Linked DNA regions of Solanum lycopersicum. The protein of the gene in region 1 interacts with the protein of each later gene in a pairwise test. Links are inferred from orthologs where the notes say so. Each region holds a gene or a part of one and is shown in the gene's direction. Other genes may lie near its edges.

Evidence for each region. The genes of interacting proteins can lie anywhere in the genome.
Region 2: the proteins of CAND1 (region 1) and GATA transcription factor 24 interact in binary tests that used the Arabidopsis thaliana proteins (3 or more experiments, as listed by UniProt). The link is inferred for Solanum lycopersicum from reciprocal best matches to the Arabidopsis thaliana genes CAND1 and ZML1.

What each region holds. Positions count from the first base shown.
Region 1 is NC_090800.1:87,681,201-87,688,232, forward strand, and holds the end of CAND1 (cullin-associated NEDD8-dissociated protein 1), read left to right. Parts: intron 1-28; coding exon 29-112; intron 113-188; coding exon 189-329; intron 330-839; coding exon 840-932; intron 933-1,031; coding exon 1,032-1,153; intron 1,154-1,269; coding exon 1,270-1,432; intron 1,433-1,510; coding exon 1,511-1,750; intron 1,751-2,839; coding exon 2,840-3,088; intron 3,089-3,182; coding exon 3,183-3,359; intron 3,360-3,458; coding exon 3,459-3,605; intron 3,606-3,868; coding exon 3,869-3,985; intron 3,986-5,055; coding exon 5,056-5,224; intron 5,225-5,437; coding exon 5,438-5,515; intron 5,516-5,588; coding exon 5,589-5,727; intron 5,728-6,125; coding exon 6,126-6,219; 3' UTR 6,220-6,625; downstream 6,626-7,032. UniProt on the Arabidopsis thaliana protein: Key assembly factor of SCF (SKP1-CUL1-F-box protein) E3 ubiquitin ligase complexes that promotes the exchange of the substrate-recognition F-box subunit in SCF complexes, thereby playing a key role in the cellular repertoire of SCF complexes.
Region 2 is NC_090800.1:90,034,560-90,042,178, forward strand, and holds the start of GATA transcription factor 24, read left to right. Parts: upstream 1-2,871; 5' UTR 2,872-3,062; coding exon 3,063-3,464; intron 3,465-4,408; coding exon 4,409-4,492; intron 4,493-4,578; coding exon 4,579-4,712; intron 4,713-6,630; coding exon 6,631-6,738; intron 6,739-7,099; coding exon 7,100-7,205; intron 7,206-7,619. Other genes in the region: KH domain-containing protein HEN4, read left to right, coding at 1,049-1,342, 1,434-1,516, 1,746-1,857, 1,984-2,115. UniProt on the Arabidopsis thaliana protein: Transcriptional activator that specifically binds 5'-GATA-3' or 5'-GAT-3' motifs within gene promoters.

The sequences.
Region 1 (7,032 bases):
CTGAAGCACTGATTATGTTGCCTTTTAGGGTTCAACCTTTGATTTCAAACCCTATGTTCTTCCAATATATAATGCCATCATGGTGCGTTTGACAAACCAAGATCAGGATCAGGTTAGTTGTGCTTGCTTGAGAAATGAATATTTTCGTATGTAAATTGATGTTTATCTAAACTGTGCTCGACTCCCAGGAGGTTAAGGAGTCTGCAATTACTTGCATGGGGCTCGTAGTTTCAACATTTGGTGATCACCTGCATGCTGAATTACCTGCATGTCTTCCAGTTCTGGTGGATCGAATGGGCAATGAAATAACTAGATTGACAGCTGTCAAGGTTTGTTTGACATTAACTTCTTAGGGATTGAACTCTATCTATGACTAGGTTGTTTAGCTTTTGGCATCTATTTTCTCATCAGGCAAGACCTTAATCACAAAAATGAATATAAATTGGAAAAAGGTACAAGTACTTGAACAATTCAACAATTTTACTTGTACATCAGGAACTATGGGATCAAAGAAAATGATCAATTTAAGATGTCAACTTTTGCATCTTCGTGATGCTTTGTTAATTTTAACTTATTCTTCGAACCCAAAAAAGGGAAAATGAACATTTCAGATTTTGGCTCATGAGTTGGTATGGCCAGAAAATAGAATTATCCCTTGTGTAACAGTATTATAGAATTACTTTACCTCCCCTCTACTCTCACCGTTTCCTAGGCAGGACTTCTGACCTTCAGTACTGCCAATATTCTTGCTCTTCCCATGGCAAGTGGTTTAAATTACATGCTGCTTTGGTTGCATTGATTTGATTGAAATTTTCTCAGAGTGCATACCTTCTTTGCAGGCTTTTGCTGTCATAGCTGCTTCTCCATTGCACCTAGACCTCTCATGTGTCATCGAGCAAGTGATTTCTGAGTTAACTGCATTCTTACGCAAGGTGAAACTAGATGTTCTGAAATGTTAACAACTTAGGAAAAAATTCATTGCATTTTATATTATGAGGAAGTCTCAAAAGTTTGCTACTTTTGGAGGGTAGGCCAATCGAGCTCTCAGACAAGCTACTCTAGGGACCTTGAACACCCTCATTGTTGCTTATGGTGATAAAATTGGATCTGCTGCGTATGAAGTTATTGTTATGGAACTTTCTACGCTAATTAGGTTTGTATTTTGATTCATTTGATTTACTAATTTTCACATGTCATATGTTCCTACAATATTTCAATCTTAAATTGTGTCATTAATATCTTCTCACTTTTGATTCATCTGGACTTTAGTGACTCAGACTTGCACATGACAGCCCTTGCGCTGGAGCTTTGTTGTACATTAATGGCTGACAGAAGGTCAAGTGCTAATGTGGGTTTGACTGTAAGAAGCAAAGTTCTTCCTCAAGCCTTGACACTAGTGAGAAGTTCACTGCTTCAGGGGCAAGCCCTTCTGGTACTTCCTTGTTTCTCTTGGTCTCAGTTTTGATCTAGGCTGTTTTCTTATGCGAAACTCACTTCTATTAATATGCAGGCCCTTCAAAACTTTTTTGCTGCATTGGTTTACTCTGCCAATACAAGCTTCGATACTCTGCTAGATTCTCTACTTTCAACAGCGAAACCATCTCCTCAGTCTGGTGGTGTTACCAAACAAGCTCTCTTTTCCATCGGTCAATGTGTGGCAGTTCTTTGTCTTGCCGCTGGTGATCGGAAGTGTTCTTCTACTGTAAACATGTTAACAGACAGCCTGAAAGATGATAGTAGTACTAATTCGGTAGGCCCTTTATTTATTTAGTTGCATCTTGGATAAGTTGTTTGAATAAGTTGTTTGTTGCTGTTGAATTGTATGTCTATCTCATCTAAAGACTTGAGTCGTTAGAGTAGTCTACTTGAATTGTATGCCTTCAACATGCTAATATGCCCCCCCACTCACTTGATTCTTTTCCGTGGGGCAAGCATGCTACAAATTTTTGGATAGTGGGTGGCGGTGTGACATGAATCCAAGACCTTTTGCCTGCTTTGCTACCATTTCAAGGAAATACACCTTGGGTTTAACTCAACCCTTGAAGTTACTCTTTCATTGTGAGGATTACTCGAGACCATGATAGTAGGTAATAACCCATTGTTCTACCGATTGTAACAATCTTAGCCACTAGTGATACTGCCACTTTGTGTTTAAGCTTTGCAGGCTAAAAAGTGTATCATTAGAGTTTCAAAGCTTACTTCTTTATATACCTAGCATCTCTCTCATGTTTGCCAATTGTGAGGATATGCTTAGGGTCATACAACCCCTATAGTTGGAGTGGAATGGCTCTGATACCATGCAAAAATGAAAGAAATGATCATGGCCTTAACTTGATTCAAAAGCTAGCTTGTGATGTGAAATTGTCCAAGGCCACCCATAAGGAGACAACAATATATATCATCAACCATATTGGCACTCTAATAAGAAATTACCCACACATCTAGGACTGAAGATTTGAACTGTGGATAACAAGTGTGCTCCGCACACTGATGTCATTTTCCTAACATGACATGTTAAGAAAATGAACATTAAATGCTAAAAGTTAGTTTATGAAGGAGTATTCGAAAGCGTACAAGGAAATTTGATATGATGACATTTTCTGTTTTTCATTAGCTTTTGTATTTTGTTAGCAGTTGTGGCAAACTACTGACACACATAATAAATGACAAAGCAAATTTCCTGAGTTTAGACTTTTTTTTAAAATAGACCATGGATAAGAAAATGGTTCTGCCATTGAGAATTATAAGTTTATATGACATTGTTTCTTCTGCTTTCTTCAAATGGTACTAATAACTGTAAGAGAACCCTGTTTTTTCTGAGTTCAGTTATCCTTTTCAGGCCAAGCAACATCTTGCCTTGCTATGTTTAGGGGAAATTGGAAGGAGAAAGGACTTAAGTCCACATGCCCATATCGAAAATATTGTCATCGAGTCCTTCCAATCACCTTTTGAAGAGATAAAGTCAGCTGCCTCTTATGCTCTAGGAAACATTGCTGTGGGTAATCTACCAAAGTATTTACCCTTTATCTTAGACAAAATAGACAATCAGCAGAAGAAGCAGTACCTACTGCTCCATTCTTTGAAAGAGGTATCTACATTTTAGATGGTCTCTTATTTCAGAAATTCTTTTCCCTCCAAGCTAATTGCTTTCTGGACTCATCGTGATATGTGGTTGCCAACAGGTCATAGTGAGACAGTCTGTGGATAATGCTGAATTCCAGGATTCAAGTGTAGATAAAATACTTAATTTGCTCTTTAATCATTGTGAAAGTGATGAAGAGGGCGTTAGGAATGTTGTAGCTGAGTGCCTGGGAAAAATTGCACTTATTGAACCTGGCAAGCTTGTTCCTGCATTGAAGGTACAACTAATGATATATTTCTTTCCTGTAAATGATTTCGTTTTGCACTTGATGTTCTGTCTGCAAATTTGACTATTTATTACTATAATTTTTGTGTAGGATCGGATTAGTAATCCAGCAGCGTTCACCAGAGCGACTGTTGTAATTGCTGTGAAATATTCCATAGTTGAGCGACCCGAGAAGATAGATGAAATCTTGTCTCGTGAAATTTCATCCTTCTTAGTGCTTATAAAGGATAAAGACCGGGTATTCCTAATTTGATGTCAAGAACTTTTTCCATTTCCGTAAAAATTTACTGGTCCCCCCCCCTCCTCCCCCCTCCTCCCCCCCCCCCCCCCCCAAAAAAAATCACATGCAGTCACCCCAAAGCCCCCCAGTCCAGTGATGTCGTGTTTACTTTTATGCTGTTCGTTTCTTTATAGTTCTCCTTTTAACAGTCATCTCTTGCAGTCTTTCATTATATCTTCCCCTAATTTAACTTCTCATCACATGCTTTGTTTATTGTGCAGCATGTTAGGCGTGCAGCTGTCCTGGCCTTGAGTACTGCAGCTCATAACAAGCCTAACCTGATTAAGGGCCTTCTACTTGAACTCTTGCCACTTCTCTATGATCAGACTATAATTAAGGTGACAAATATCTCCTTAAAATTTAATCAGTTTTTTGTGCATTTTAGTTTAGGTTGTATTTCAAGGCACTTGAAACTGGGGCACACCACCTTCCTTTTGTCTACATATGTTCGTACCAGATTGGCACAATTTATGTGTACATGCACTGGCGAAACTCCAACTCTTGGTTCTTTGAGATATGTATTTGATTGCTGTTTTAAAGCTATGGGCCCAAGGATTACACTACATCCTGCTGAATACTCTTATTCCCGAGTAGTAGAATAATTGCATGCAAGTATTATCTACAATTCATTGATTAAACATATCATCTTTCTTTGTATTTTTGTATTTATACTTATTTGAAGCTTTAATCGTGTGAGTCAGAGATGGATAACTGTAGATTAAAGTTTGGCTAGATGGTGGTATGAAATAATAGGCTTGTTTCATCTCCCCACGAGCATAATGCCATGATATTCCAAATCTCCAGTTAATTGACCAAGACAACTGTTGGATGTTATCAGCTAGCATGCCGATAACATTATTCCATATACGGTGGTATAAATTGTGAAGTCGAAGATGCAATTAAGTAAATGCATACCCTAAGTTGGAATGGGCCAGACTTTGCCTATGATCTTATTGCTAATCTTTATATGTACAATTTGTGAACATGATCATCTTATGGGCATCTGTCTCAAGTAAATTAGGACTAGGACATGTTTGTGCCCATATAGTCATATATTCTTGGCATTCACCTTATTAGAGGTTTGTTGCTTTTGTTTAGCAGCCTCATTTGACATCCCATGTTGGTTAATTCTTTCAAATTCAGAACCCTCTCCTCATATGTGGACAATTATCTTACAGTTATCGTGGAAATAAGAACAAAGAGAACCTGTACTGATCCTACTCATGGATCCTATCATTTAGGACAGTATATGCGTGATTGTTGTCTAAAAGTTAGATTAATTGCGTCTCATAATTAAAGATAATTCAGGACCTATCAATTATTCCTAACCTTGTACTTTAGGAGTGTCACTAATAACAGTTGATTGGTGGCATTCTCTATCATTGATTATGCTTCTTTCCTCTTGCAGAAAGAATTGATAAGAACGGTTGATCTAGGTCCCTTCAAGCATACAGTCGATGATGGACTAGAACTGAGAAAGGCAGCTTTTGAATGTGTAGACACATTGCTAGACACTTGTCTTGATCAAGTGAATCCCTCATCTTTCATTGTCCCATATCTTCAATCTGGTTTGGATGGTAAGTTGATAGCTTGTGATAGACCCGATTCTTCTATTGTTATCTCTATTTTTCCAAATGTGGTGTTCTGATTCTTGATTTGATTTTATTGATGTCTGCAAATTCTATTTTTTTGGGGATGGGTGTGGCCGTGTGGTAGCATCATTGGACATGTCACTGCGCTCACATGCAATTATTTTACTGCTGAACTGAATCTTTTGCCTCTTCTCCCAGATCATTATGATGTTAAAATGCCATGCCACCTTATCCTTTCTAAACTTGCTGATAAGTGTCCTTCAGCGGTATTAGCAGGTATAGTCTTTTTGCTGCTTTTTCTCCTTCTAATGAACCAGTTTGTTATGTTTACAATACATTGCTTTTGCAGTTCTGGACTCTTTGGTGGATCCTCTGCAGAAAACAATAAATTTCAGACCAAAACAGGATGCTGTCAAGCAAGAGGTTGATCGCAATGAAGACATGATTCGAAGTGCCCTTCGGGCAATTGCAGCCTTAAATCGTATCAGGTAAGTCTTTTTTTAGTGTCCCCTTGAAATGATTGTGCTTTTGTTGACATGTGTCTTGAATCAATAATTTAGGGGGATGACCTTCTCTTATCCTTTTCGTATTTTTCTTGTTCTTTCTGTGAAAATGGAAGATTTCTATTTCTTTCCCAGTGTAGCATATTTCAGATTTTTCATACCAAAATGAAGTTATGAGTCATCAGCTCATCTACTGCTACTTTTGATTAGGACTGCCTTTAGGGCAATATACAAGTGTTATAAACTAAGCTCGATATCCATGTGTGAAAAGGAAAATATTCTTGTTGCAATTTGATACCTCTGTTTCCTTTCCTCTCTTCTTTTCTCGATCTTCCTTGTTTGCCTGACCTTAGTAATGTATTTGTTGCTCCCATTGTTTGCAGTGGAGGTGACTACAGCCACAAGCTCAAGAATCTAATGGTGGAAATTGAGAAGACATCACTCTGGGACAAGTATTGTTGTATCAGGAATGAGTGATACAGAGGTTCTTTTGATTCCTTGGACAACATTATAATTTTACTGCAAGTAATGTGAATGCGGCAAATGGGCTGGTGGAGAAGGAAGCATATGCATAAAGGGATGCCTACTTGAATCAATGTTACCATAACGCACTTCACCCTGTATAGGTTTAGTCTTAGCATTTTGTTTTGTCATATATGTGACATGTTTTCTAATTTGGGCGTCTAATTGGTTTTGGGTTCATGGAATGTTCAATTGAGTTTTCTTTTTGTACGGAAGTCTGAGCCTCTTCTAGAGTAATTTATGAGATATTTTCCCCGTTTTTAGCGGTTTTTGAAACACCTATTAGTTGTGCTAAATACTTGTAATAGCTATGTTTACGGTTTCTCTTAATTGATATTGTTGGATGTGACTCGAAGAGCAACCTAAGGTGTACAAGTGTTTGATTTTTTTATAAATATTTCCAGTTTGTACATTATTTGTTCCTCCTAAAGGAGTTTGAACAAAGAAGGTCGAACGACCTGAGAGACCCTTTTACTTGACTTCGTTTCTAAATTGGATTTTCCTTATCAATTTGGTAATTGAACCACTAATACTTTAGGCCTTTTTTTCGTCTGGACTAGTGTGAAGTACAATTGCTTACACGTTGAATTACATGTCATTTTTAATGAGATGTAAGAAATTACATGTTAAAAATTAAAAAAATATCAATTAAGCCACTTTTGAAATTTCTGGAAATTTTACATGAGCATTATCTTTTTTTAAAAAAAATTATTTCAAATAAGTATGTTCTTCATATTTATTCAAATAGATGAGATTTTTCTCCATTTG
Region 2 (7,619 bases), about 2.4 Mb from region 1:
TACAATACATGAATACAATACAATAGGTAACAATCATCCGAAAGAGAACCATACATATCCAGGATCGCCCTCCAAACGGTCAGTAAGGTAAAGCCAGAAGATAAGAATTGTACTCAATTTTTTCTCAGTCCCTCTAGTGTGCCGTGTGGTGCCTGCTGATTTGTCGAAAAGATTACCCAATCGACGTACCTGCAGGACTTCCCCTATGCGGTTCAAGCCATTCAAGGTGACCCTACCCAACATTTATTCGCAAATCCTGTTGTGAAATTGAGACTGCTCAACCTTCGGAAGCTAATTCGTGTTTGCACGCATTCTCTATCATACCATTGACCTTTTAAGTTTGAGAGTAAATTGTCCAGTTTTGGATAAATTGAGTATATTATTCTTTTTTGGATAAATTGAACAAATTGTTCTTTTCTGGAATAATTGAGCAAATTGTCCGTCATATCATGATTTTCGTTTTAGTTCATCTAGGTTTGACTTACTGGTGCATTAAGTTTAAGGATATGCACCGAGTTCATTAATTTTTGGTGATATATACTTGATGTCAAAATATTAGAGTAATGCACTTTTTAAGTTATAAAATATGCAAGTTTCTTGTGACCGAATCCTGAAATTTCTCTGGAAAAAAAACCTTAGGCTTGTTAATACAGACAACTATTTTGGCTCTTCTCCTTAATATAGTAGTACTAGAACCCGCGTTGCACAGTCAATATAAAAAAAACAAAAACAATGTTTATTGTCTTGCTTGTCTTTGTAAAGTGTAAATATAGTTCATTTAACAAAATTGCAGCTGTCGTTTGCTTTTTTACGCAATAATATTATAAATTTAACTACTTTATGAAACTTGAAGAGTTTGTAATTTAAAATAGAAGAGGAACTCTTTTGATATGTCCTTTTTGTGGAGAATGATCTTTTCATAAGATCATGTGGAGTTTATCAAACACTTCCTTTCACTCACATGTGGTTTCTTGAACTTGGTCAAATCAATCTATATATAAAATCAGACATTTTGGTGTATCTGTTGCACTGAGATTGTATTGTATAGATTGCAGGCGAGTTCGTAAATGTACAAGATGTTTTGCGAAATGTCACTGGTCGGTTGCGTGATAACCTCTTGGCAGCAAAGGTGTCAAATGGTGGTGTCAGCAGAAACAGCTCTCCTTTGACATCTGAAAGTAGTCCCTCTGGCCAAATGAGGGAACCTCCTTTTGGATTTCATCGGTCTAGTGGTGTCTCGCATGGTAACAATCAACATCCTGAGTTAACGCGGTCTATTAATAACCTTGTACTTTCCAACAAGACAGATCACCCCCCATCACCGGGGCTGTGGTCATCACAGGTGATAAACCGCTGAGTGTTTAATTTTCCCTTTAATTTAATGTGCATTCACCGACTTACCTTTGAACATTTCCTCTGGGCTTGGCTATTAGACACGACCTGGAGTAAACCAAAGAGGTGCTTTTGATGTCAGCAAAGGATCTAATTCAGTTAAAGGTGGCATGGAACTTGGAAGGTTGGTGTCTTCCACTCTTCACAAGCGGCTAATGCTTTTTCACCTGTGACAGGATGTACTTACGAGGGTGGACTCCCTATAATATGATTTGTACGAAAAAATTCCCTGTCTAGATTTACCAAATGGTCATTATAGACTTGGAGAAAAGATATGTAAGATTATCTAGAAGCCTGAGTAGAAATTTCTTGGTTGTATTCATCAGCTTGTTGCATTTTTCTATTGCTTGCAGTGGAAGCAGATCTGCCATTGTGACCAATACTACTGTGAAGATCATGGTTCCTGAAAACATCATCGGCTGTGTGTATGGGGAGGACGGGAGCAACTTGACTCGTTTAAGACAGGTATGTTGTCCCTTTCCCTTTATTAATTAGTTTTGTGGAAGGTACATGGGATTTTTAAACTCATATTTCTTCGTACTTCCATTCATTTTTGTGCTGGTGATTGATCTTTCTGAGGAACTGAATCAGATTTCAGGAGCTAGGGTCATGGTACATGAGCCCCGTCCTGGAACAACTGACAGGATTATCGTGATCTCTGGGACCCCAGATGAAACCCAGGCAGCTCAGTCTCTTCTTCAGGCATTCATACTGACTGAATAACCGTGAACTTAACAAAGAGGATCCCAATTTTGTATACTGAACTAGTACAGTTAGAACTATGTCAACAGCCAAGTACACTTTTTATTTTGTATACTATGTTGTGATGAGTCTGATGTTTGTTTATTTTTAGATAGGGTATTAAACATTAGTTTTTTGGTCTTTAATATGTTAGGAAATAAGAAATTAACTTGGTATTTATCCAATTTGACTATGCCGTCAACATGAGCAGAAGTTTTTTCTTACATTTGAAAGGGGATTGATTAGTTGACATCTTTATTTGCTTGCATCTGATAATCTTATAACAACTAGAGAAACTTTTAACTACTTTTATTTTGCATAGTAATGTAGGCCTGAGATGAGTTTAGAGTGGAGAAACATGGTCATTATTGATTAATATAGTTTGTGTTTCCAATATTAAATTTTGATTTCATTTATTGAATAAATTAATACAGTTCGTCGTATGACATATGAAAAATGACAACAAGGATGACATTACAATTCCTTGATTTGGTTCAATTAAGAAGCCTGATCTATGCCCTAGGAAATAAACTATGGTAATACGGCTTGAGTGTTATCACGCGTTTAAGCTAGCTTTTGCTTTGATTTAATTATTTATTTTTTGATAAATATATATTTTTTCATATATAAATGATACATATATTGCAAATTTAATTTGACTTATCTTTTATTTTCAAGTCAAAATAAATGAAAGTAACGATACTATCTTTAAAAAAAATTAAATGATGTTCATCATTTGGAACAATGGTTTGTTTACATGGACGAAACTCTTGTTGTCGACCCCATTTTTGGGGCTTAAGGATTCGGGTTTGTTTGGATATGGCTAAAGCTTATGGAGCTAGATTTGTTGGATCATAGTAGCTGTGTGGGGGTAATAACGTCTTTTAGTATTTTTATTTTTTAGAAAATATAAATCAACGACGTCAAAAATGGCAGAAGCAAATCGCAGAGCTAACATGTACGGACGGGAGACGATGAACGCTGCACTTCACCAAGATAGACACCAGCAAACTCAGATCGACGACGACGATGATGACGACGTCGTCGCTGCTGTCGGTGGCGGTGGCAGTGGTGGGGGAGGAATAGAGTCTATGGACAACCCTACTCCTCACATTCGCTACGACCAACATCATCACTCTCATTCTCACGCGCTTCACAACGGCGGCGCCGGCGGTTCTATGGAGATGAATGGTGTGGAAGGTGTTTCTCATAACGCCTTGTATGGTCCTCCTTCCGAAATTGTTCCTACTGCTGGTAGTGGAGCTTCCGATCAGCTTACGCTGTCGTTTCAAGGCGAAGTGTACGTTTTTGATGCCGTTTCACCTGAAAAGGTATTTCTTTTACTTTGACCTCTCTTTTTGTGCTTACTAAAAATGTTTGCCCTCTAATTTGTGCATCTTGCTCGTTCTTGTGTAGTGTGTTCTTTTATAAGTTTAGCTGAAAAGGTGTTTCTTTTAATTAGCGAGATTGGTCTGCATTTAATTTTTTTGTGTTGCTTGGATTCTTGCTTTTTTTGTGTCTGTCTACAAGAGATTGAGTGACTTAGGGGGAAGGATTTTCAATTTTAGAGATGGGGATAATTCTGTATTTGGCCAAAAGTTCTTGCCTCACTCTCACTCGACTTTTGGAGTTGTTGAGGTATTTCAAGACTCCGAAACTGGTCGTTTCTGAGATTAGATTGTATTTGATTGGCGAATTGGTTAGTGTGTACGGTGAATTGTTTGATATTGATCAAATTATGAAGCAAAGAGGCCATGCTGATCTTTTTTATCTTCCACGAGTAAGAGTGATTCTCACTGGCACGATTTTAGTATCACTGTAATTAAAATCTATGCACCGATGCTGAGTGAGGGGTTATCGCTCATAGGTGAAGTCATGCACTTCATAGAAGTGTTAAAAATGATGCACAGAGTGATCCAAATAAGAAGTCGTTGATGCTCTGAATCTCAACTTAGAAGAGTAAGATTTATGGATACTGAAATTAGTTCGTTTTATTGCAATCTGATCGTTACAGTGCTAAATTCACATACTTAAGAATTTTTTTTGACGTTGAGAATTGTGTGTTTCACTTCAAATGTGTGTGCTGTTTACTTCTCACTTTTCGCTTCAAGCTCCATGGTCCTTATTGCTTTTTTTTGCTCTTTTAGAAAAACTGTTTAGTATATGTATCAGGTAGTGGAATTTGATTCACAATTAGTGGATTTAAAACTTCATTTTGATATTTACAATAATCTTAATAGGGGTAAATTCTGTTTTTATGTTTATTGAGTTTTAGGTTCAGGCGGTGCTGTTACTGTTGGGGGGATACGAAGTCCCTCCTGGTATCCCTGCTGTAAATGTGGTTCCCCAAAGTCAGAGGGTATTCATCTTTATCTTCCCCTTACATTTTTTTACCAGACTGGTGGTTTATAATCAGTTATGGCACTTCCGCGGCAATATTCACAGGCTTCAGGTGACTTTCCTGGAAGATTAAATCAACCGGAAAGAGCTGCTTCTTTAAATCGTTTTAGGGAAAAGAGGAAAGAACGGTGTTTTGATAAAAAGATCCGCTATACTGTGCGGAAGGAAGTTGCGATGAGGTAATAAAACTGTAGTTTTTAATGCATGATGTTGTTTTGTCTGCTTGTTTGAACCATATTCGGAACTAGGTGGAGATAATGTGCAAATTGATGTCTGTTGCGATAGATGTCCCATCTGTAATTGTCCATTCGCTGTGCTAATGATTGATAGGACTAATTCACCCTTCTAAATTAAGTTGACAATAAGAGTAGGAAAGACATTTGCAAATTGTTATACACGAGGGGCGTCTAGCTCTGCGGCAGATGCTTTATATCAGCTTTATGCATTGCTTGAACTATTTGACTGGAATGGTGTAGGAGGTGTTTTGAAGGCAAAAGGAGCATTTATCTTAAAGCAACATTATTTTCAACTGGCTGACCTGCTGGACTTGGCGAATGCTACGAGTCAACTCCAACTTTTTGTAATTTTCTACAGAATTACCTGAAAAAGTAAAAAAGAGTGGAGTATGTCATGACTGAAATATGGCAGGATCACCTGAGGTGCATCTTACTTTATCTTTAAAAAGCAGAGTGCCCCCGAGCTGCACACACTTATTTCATATCTAAGACATTGTTTGAATGTGAATATGTAATTTCTAAATGACCTGACTGCTAAAAAACAGTTGCCGTGAGACAAAATTCTCACTTCCTCTTTACCTTAGGTTTGTGTATAAGAAAAGGTCAACTACAGCATTTTAAGGAATGAGGTAGAACTAACTAAAGAATGCTATAGCGAGGACATTGTAGTGCACTAGGTTGACATTGGAAATATAATAGGATAATTAGTGGTGAAAACATTATCCTATAAGAGGGAAGGGAGGTGTAATAGTATTTAAAGGATGAGACATGACCTCCTACTGAGCGCCTTATATTCTATCAATGCAAATGTCCCATAGTTTTGTGGACTTCGGAGCATTGGTACAACTGGCGCTAAAGTAGTGCACTTCATTATATGAAAACTTGAAATTATTGTCCCCCAATCCTTGCTCTAGTGATAAGAACACAGTCTGTGATGTGGGGGTTAGGCGCACTCCACAAATTTAACCCTACCACAAACAAAAGTGTGGTATTTAAATGGAGAATGGTAAATGCGCAGGCCTCTTTCCACCGAGTTTCAAGCTGTTCGCCTTGGTCTTGGGGATTTCTCAATTATCAAATAGCCCATTGGCATAATATATTAAAACTGAAAAAGCACATAAATACTACTACTAAAAATGGTCTGAGTTACAAAACTGTGGATAAATGACAATAATTAAAGCAAGTACGAGAAGATGTAAGAGCACTCCCATTTCCAATTTAGTGTAGCTGAATTATTATTTTATTCATTTATTAGAAGCCTTTTTTAAAAAAAAAGAAGGGGAAAATGGCCCATTAACTTTTGATGGACAATTTGGTTATTCAACTTTAGAGTTGAGGTCTTTCCACATTTAGTATAAAATATAATAATGATTTTTGCATAATATCGAAGACCACATTATGCAATAGAGCACCAAGACTTGTTTTAGTTCCATTACTTTATTGACTACTGACTATGCCATACCCTCGGGTGCAAGAACGGATATTTTACTAGCTCCTCTCATGTGGCCATGCATCAATCTTCAACTGCGGAATATTTTAATTATAGGCAACTGCTTCCAACCCATGCAAGTGAAACGACTTTTGCTAAAGGATGTCTATAGTGACATCTGACCATGCAATTTGTGCAGGTATCCTTAGATGTTATGCTAGTTCTTTCTCTAGTCAATATGATTTAATTTTATTTTCTCTTACTTCATTCTTCTAGAGGGAGGGGTTATGGGTCCCTGTTAGGTTTTTGAAGTTATTAATTTCAGTCCTTGTCTATATTTTCATCAGTCTTGTAGTTGAAGTTCATGGTTTAGACTAGGTCCTTTTATTTGTTCTTTTCAGTTGTCTCATCTGATCTATGTTATATTTTCAGGATGCAGCGCAAGAAAGGTCAGTTTACATCTGCCAAGTCAATACCTGACGAAGTAGGTTCTTCTGCAGATTGGAATGAAGGCTCTGGTCAAGAAGAGCAGGAAACATCGTGAGTTCCATTTTCTGTAGTAGTTGATTTTCCTTTTTTCAAGTTATAATATGTTTACCACCCCCAAAAATTCCCCTTGACTAGAACAATTAAAAAATTCCCCTTAGGAGCCAACAGTGGCATTTCACACTTTTGTCCCTTAGTCACTCGAACGCCCTGACTTCACGGTTGGAGGTGTAGGACACTAGGCTATACCTCCCTTCTCTGTAGTTGTTCTGTCTTCCGTCATTGAATTTGATGTAAATCTGTGGTCATTTTACAGCAGATTCAATTTTACATGGTCTCGAGGTTCAGAGGTTACCGATCACTTTAAATACAATTGACATCTTTCTGAGAAGTTTCTCTTTCCATTTCTCAACAGATGTAGACATTGCAATATTAGTTCGAAATCCACTCCTATGATGCGTCGGGGACCAGCTGGCCCAAGGTCTCTTTGTAATGCATGTGGACTCAAGTGGGCCAATAAGGTTAGTATTGAGTTGAAAATTTTACTCATTTCCATGGTTTTTATTTGAATAGGCATAAATGCCTCGTGATGATTTGCTCCATGATCAATATTACTTATTATTAGTTCCCACCCATTCACATTTTCATTGTTTGAGAACGAGATGTATAAGTAGAGAATTCTAGGGAAAGATATGGTTCGGACGTTCGGTGCAAATAGCATGCATTGATGACTAGGATATCATGTGTGCTCCAATAGTTGAAGAAAAAATATTCTGCTCAAGTATATATACTTTTATCTCCTTCAAATGATTTTTCGCTCTCATTATTGTCCACATTCGCTGATCCATTTTTTAAGCTTCCCCTCAAAACTTCCACTCTATAATACAGAAAAAACTACTCCCTTTGTCCAACAATAGTTGTCCACTATACTAATT